Callithrix jacchus: one gene and its partner. The protein of the gene in region 1 interacts with the protein of each later gene in a pairwise test. Links are inferred from orthologs where the notes say so. Each region holds a gene or a part of one and is shown on either strand. Other genes may lie near its edges.

Evidence for each region.
Region 2: the proteins of KASH5 (region 1) and SLC41A2 interact in binary tests that used the Homo sapiens proteins (3 or more experiments, as listed by UniProt). The two-hybrid records come from large-scale screens. The link is inferred for Callithrix jacchus from reciprocal best matches to the Homo sapiens genes KASH5 and SLC41A2.

Annotation. Positions count from the first base shown.
Region 1 is NC_133523.1:43,175,826-43,178,753, forward strand, and holds part of KASH5 (protein KASH5), read left to right. Parts: intron 1-665; coding exon 666-724; intron 725-2,613; coding exon 2,614-2,659; intron 2,660-2,928. UniProt on the Homo sapiens protein: As a component of the LINC (LInker of Nucleoskeleton and Cytoskeleton) complex, involved in the connection between the nuclear lamina and the cytoskeleton.
Region 2 is NC_133510.1:107,730,011-107,733,663, reverse strand, and holds the end of SLC41A2 (solute carrier family 41 member 2), read left to right. Parts: intron 1-345; coding exon 346-531; 3' UTR 532-3,119; downstream 3,120-3,653. UniProt on the Homo sapiens protein: Acts as a plasma-membrane magnesium transporter. Can also mediate the transport of other divalent metal cations in an order of Ba(2+) > Ni(2+) > Co(2+) > Fe(2+) > Mn(2+).

The sequences.
Region 1 (2,928 bases):
ATGAAAAAATCAGCTGGGCATGGTGGTGCACACCTATAATCCCAGCTATTCAGGAGGCTGAGCCAGGAGAATCTCCTGACCCTGGGAGACAGAGGTTACAGTGAGCTGAGATCGCACCATTGCACTCCAGCCTGGGCAGCAAAAGTGAATCTGTCTTGAGGAAAAAAAGAAAAGAGGAAAACAATGTCAAGTGGGTCGTTGAGGTCAAGGGCAATGCTCATATTTCTCTGGAGAAAACAAAAGGTTCTTGGGTCCTGAGTGAGAACAGATGGACCCAGCCCAAGTCTGGGATGCTGGGAGGAAAAGGCGGTTGGGCAGGGAAATGCTGAGATCCTTTGGGCCCAAGTAAGTGTACGAGATCTGTGGGACATCCACGAGGTTTAGGTGACCAGGACTCCGGGGTCCTGCAGGACAAGGGGACTTGGTGACATCAAGAACAACCCTTTGGTCTCTGGCTTCTGCTCTTAGGGAGATAATAGGGTCATCCTCATATAGAGGAGCATGAGAGCAGGGCAGGTTGTAGAAGGTGGTGAATTTGTGCACAGGTTGCAGCCCAGAAGTCCTTTTGCTTATGGGGTCTGGGACCAGGGGGAGACTGGGCATTGTTAGGGTTGGGACTTTGAGTGAGAAGAATCAGAGAAGAACTAACCTTTTTGTTTCCACAGAGAAACTTCCAGGGAGAGCCAGCACACCCTGGAGAAGGAAGGAAGGAGCCATCCATGTGGTAAGGAGCTGAGCCGTCCATCTGCCTCAGGATGTTTAGAGTTGGAGGACTAGATGAGCCCTGAGGGGGTCTGCATGCCACCACTCACTCATTCATTTACATCTTCCAGGAGCAGACCCTGGGCAGGTAGGCTAGGAGATGAGACCTGGCCCTGCCCTCAGCGAGTCTTGGGACTAGGAGGAGATCTGGCTCCTGACCCTGCCTCGGGGGCGGGCTCCTAGGGAGGCCCTATGCCTGAATGGAGCCCTGTGGGAGTGGCATTAGTACAGGAGACTCTTAGACAAGAAGACACAATTGTCAGGCAGAAGGGACAGCTCAGTCACACGATCATTCTCTCACTGAACACACCTCTCCCAATGCTCCAGAAAACCTCCTTGGAGAGCTCCCAGTCACCTGGGAGATTTGGAGGGTGAGGAGGGTCTCTGCAATAAGCGTGGATTCAAATCCCAGCTCAGGTACTTCGAAGTGGGGCAGATGTGAGCATTAGGTCGTATGTTGTGAGGCCCCAGCCCTGTGATTGGGATATGATTGTTAGAGGCTGTGTCCAGGCCTGGGACGATGGAGAAAGCACTAGATGTCTGGGCCCACCCTCCTTCAGAACCCTGGCCTTGGGGCCTCTGGTTTCCTGTGGTGCTTCCCTCTCCCCTCCCCTCTTTCAGGCTCCCAGCTGCGGCTCCTAATGAGGCTGCCTGCCAAGGCCTCTAATTGGACTTGTCTGGGAGGAGCTGAGATTGGGCGGGATGGGAGCTCTGGAGCTATGACCTCCCTTTGCGTCACCAGAGAAAGGAGGGGGAAAGGGGCTGAGCAGTGGTGGAACAAGGGGAGGCAGGTACCATGCGAGTTTCCAGAGGGCAGGGGCAGTTTGATCCACAGATTGGAAAGCTGGGAGTGAGGAAGGTGGTGAATGCAATGGCCCCTAAAGGTAGCCAGCAGTGAGGACTTGGACCTTGAGAGGGGTTGGATCCCAAGTAGAAGTTTCTGGGCATCAGATAGTGTTTGTCTGACTGGGGCAGAGCTGGGGGGCCTAAGACCACTAGATCCCTTATTTCGTGGTAGCACAGCTGTGTTCCTGAGGGCATCTTTGAGGGTTTTGGGGCTGAAGCTTGTAGTGGTGGCAACTATAGGGCTGGATCCCTGGACCCCAATGAAGGCAGTGGCTGGTGGTGTGGATGGCAGGGACTCAGACGGCTGTGATCCTAGGAGGGGCCTCCCTAAGAGTCTTCCCCGGAGGCAGGGTCAGGAGCCAGATCTCCTCCTAGACCAGAGACTCGGAGGGCAGAGCCAGGTGTGACTCATCTCCTGGCCTACAGGCCCAGGGTCTACTGGAAGATGTGATTGAATGAATGAATGAGTGGCATGCAGCCCCCTCAGAGCTCTTCCTGTCCTGGAAGAGGGGCTTACACACCCAAGAGGATCTGGGATGGGGAAGAGCTCCAACCGTTGGATTCTGTGCGTGGGAAGGTCCCAATTGGAGTCCCAGTTCTCCAAGAACACCCAGTGAGAGTCATGGAAAAATGGCTCAACCCACTACATAGGAAGGGGGTTTCTACACATGCTCTAGGGTCTCAGAGAGGCCTGAATCTCTGGTATTTTGGAGAGTGAGAGAGCCGGAAGCCTCAGTTCCCAGCTGGGGTATCAGCTGGGGAAGTAGTGGCTGAGAAAGCAAATCTGAGATGAAGAGGCCCCTTATTCTTCTGGCATTCAAAGACCCTTTCAATAATTTGGTGAAAATTCCCCTGAAAAATACATATGCAGAACACCCCTGAGGCCCTTCCATGCTGCCTGGCCTGTGCTAAGACCCCTGCTCCTAGGCTTCCCTCCCAGCCTGTAGCAGGCAAAGGGAACTAGGGAGAAGAGGAGGATGCCAGCAGTGACTTTGTGGTCCTCAGGTTAACCAGAAGAGAGGAAGAGGAGGCTGCGGCGAGCCAGGTCACGGTAGGCAGTCCCCAGAACCCCTCCCCGGTCCCCATCCACTCCAAGCCCGCAGAGGCTCAATTGTTTCAACTCTTTCCCAAGCCCCAGCCTCAGACCCCTCAGGAGCAGAGAGGAAAATCATTTGGCCAAGAGATAACAAGGCCCTTGCTGTAACTAATGAGACAGAGCGATAGTGAGGTGGGGGGTGGCTTGGAGGCTAGTGGGCGGCCAGGCTGCTCCCAGGGGACTCCTCCAGCCACACACAAGGCTGCAGTCGCCATACGGCAGGC
Region 2 (3,653 bases), on another chromosome or scaffold:
CTTCATAATGTTTTCCTTTTTCACAGGTTTATCGAATAGAGAAACAGTCTTTTGGAAACCGTACAATGCTATTAAAATATAAGAATTATTGTGGCTAGTGTGAGGCTAGAATAAAATGAGATCTATGTGAAAAGTTGAAGAAAAATTTTAGTACCTGTAACCATGCATGCTATTTTTTTCTTGTGAAATGAAAATACTCTTGTCAAATATTTCTTCTTTTCAAGCATGGTTCTTGACTTAGACCCATGCTGTTCCTTCCATAAGCTAGTGGTTTCTGCTTGTGGCCATGTTTCATAAGCTAGGAATGTCCGGGCAGCAGGAGTAATCTCTGGTGTTCTGTTCTAGGTATTTACTTTGCTGTGGATTGCTGACTGGATGGTCCATCACTTCTGGAGGAAAGGAAAGGACCCAGACAGTTTCTCCATCCCCTACCTAACAGCACTGGGTGATCTGCTCGGGACAGCTCTGTTAGCCTTAAGTTTTCATTTTCTTTGGCTTATTGGAGATCGAGATGGAGATGTTGGAGACTAATAAATCCTACAAACTGTGTCAAGTTACCAAGGAAGAAGATACACTACAACCACTTATGGCTCTTTTTCAAAACTCTTAAATCAGTAGTTTGACTTTTGCCAGGGTAATTGTCAGTTGGCCCTGATCCGATTAAATGGCCTTAACTTTTTTTTTTCAAGGAATTTGTGTCAAAACCAGAATGAACAGTATTTGTGCTGCTTTTCATAGAATAAATGATAATTTAACATAGACATAGATATAGACTCCAGCTCTGAAACTAATTAGGAAATAATATGGGATGTTTACAGTGAATAATTTTAAAACCACAAACATAGCAAATGTACTTGATTATTAAATTTGTAATGCAGGATTAGAAGCAGAGCTCTTAGCCTTTGTTGTCTCACAGATGTGCCGTATCCCAGGCATACTATAAAATGAAGGGTGCCCAACCAAGCTTTGAATCGTTTTAACATTGCCCACCTCTATGTTAGCTGAGGATAAATTTACCAATTGCTCCTATTTAAACTAACCTAAATACGTTTTGCTGTGCATAAGATAAACTCACTTTTACCTCCATCTAAAATTACCCTGTGCCAATGTCAATTCAATTTCAGTTCTGCAAGTTCTTGTCAGGCTAATTGTTAAACATGGAGTGATCTCCAGAAATCTTTAATGAAAGAGTGGGTCATTTTTTGATCATTTATTTGTTGGAAAAATGTTGTTGTGTTTTAGAAAATGTAATTTTCAAAAACAGAAGATAACCTGAGATGCATTTGTAGAGACAAGATGATGTGAGAAATTGTGTATGTGTATGTGTGTGTGTGAGAGAGAGAGACTTCTGATGAAGAACTAAATCTTGGATTGCTGATAGCAAAGATCATAGTGCTGTTAGAATATCAGCAATATAGTTATTCTTAAACATTTCATTAATATGTTTTTGCCATTGGTCCAAAAATGTTGCTACTGACCAGAATTTACTATTTGTTACCTATATTCTTTTTTTTTTGAGATGGAGTCTTGCTGTGTCACCCAGACTGGAATGTGGTGGTTCAATCTTGGCTCACTGCAACTTCCACCTCCTGGGTTCAAGTGATTCTCCTGCCTCGGCCTCCTGAGTAGCTGGGATTACAGGAATGTGCCACCGCACCCAGCTAATTTGTTACCTACACTCTAATTAATTATTTCTTATTTTTTAAAAAACTGTACTATTTAATATAATCAAGATAAGAAATTTAAAATGAGCAAGTGATTCATTTGCTCTTTTTAAAGAAGCCTGTGACTTACCCTTTAAAAAAAAGAAGTTAGTCGATTACCTCAATTATTGTTCACGCTTAAACATATCTGTTTGTACAGGCTTATTTCTGCATGGGACCCTATCATATATACTGTATTTCTCAAATATTTTTCTAAAACTCTGGCCTATATTCTAAACAGTTGACCAACACCATATTCAATAGGTAACCATTTTTAAAGCACATGTGGTTCATTTTTTAAAATTCAGTGCAGTCTCTCAAGACCATTAGATGTTTAATAATTTAAGCTGATAAGGGTATCAAATTGCACATTACCTTTGATCATCATGATTTAAGTTGTACGTTTGTGTTATTATATAAATATTAGGTTGTTTATAAGTACATTGGGAAAAGTATTCTTGTTAAGCTCTTTTAAATGAGGGGGCTGTGGTTTAGAATTATATATTTTTGCTTATTTTTAAACTTAATTATTCCATTCTTCTGCCTTATAATGAAACTTTTAAGGCAGAGAACTGAACTAATTATAGAATTTCTCCTTTGGAGAGTTATAATGTCACATAGTGAACATTCTTATAAAAGAAAGAATAAGTTTAAGTTGATGAATATTTAGCTGCAAAGATTTTTTACTTTAAAAATTCATGAATAATATCTTTGATTTTATTGTAAAGCATTTGTAAATTACTTATTTACATTTGGGCTGTATGATTCATAAACATTTACATTTCCCACTGATTTCTATTTTGATTTTTTTAACAAAAAACATACAGTGAAAGCTACATTTTTAAAGCATTAATCAACAACTTTAGTCTGTTGTATTACACATTCCAGTGCACATTCAAATATGCAATATTATTTAATACTCACAATAGTACCTGAAAAATATGTCAGATGGGTATTCCTATCTCTATTTTATAGCAGAGGAAACTGACATTCAGAGAACTTACATTTCTAAAGTTGTGCAGCTGCAAAATGACCAAATTGTGAAATCCCTAACATCCAGGTTTTCATAATGCCAGTACTCTTTCTATGACACGTTTATGACCCTCCAAATGTACCAAGACTACCTAACTAATTAACTGAAAGGAGGCCAACTGGAAAAATAGGATTTTTAAAAGTACAATAGAGTGTTACTACATCTTTTCGATTTCAGACAGAGAAACCTCCATTTATTATATCCTGATGGTGAGTATTGCCAGCTCTAAATTATTCATGTTTCTAAGACCAAGGAAAATACAGGTAAATGAAAATTTTGAAATAAAAAACAATGCCTTAATTCGTAGAATCCATCATTGCTACCACCTTGCCCAGGTCTGGCCATTTGCTGTAAATGCTGGTAAATAAATATAATGACTGATAGAGTTCTGTCTCGTTTCTCTTTTGCTACCCCACCTTGGTTAGAACAACCAAATGTCTAAAAGGCATGTAATAGGAGAAAAAAAACACATTAGTCACCAATTCGCTGATTATAAAAGGGATGTAGATTCCTTTAAGTTATTACCGACCTTTTGAAAGCCTTCCCATAAGTATGCAACGGATAAAATGACTCATTTCACTTACCCACAACAATCGTCTATTATCAGTCTTAAGTAATGTTAGTTCACTGTATTTATTTTTATACAACATTAAAACTTCTGCTTTCCAAACTTCTTCCTTTCACTAATTTATCAGCCACTTTATTTATACACAGATAACTCTCTTAAAAACGTTTTCCTTTCTTGCCCACCATTTTTTTCTTTCAAAAATAAAGTTTCTTAGAACCTGATAAAATGGAAACTTACAGTAATACATCTTCTGGGAGATGTCAAGAAATTCTACACCATAGACTATCAATGATGTAGCCAAATAAAGACCATTTAAAAAAATCTTCCAGTAATTAGGCTTCCTTGCCTT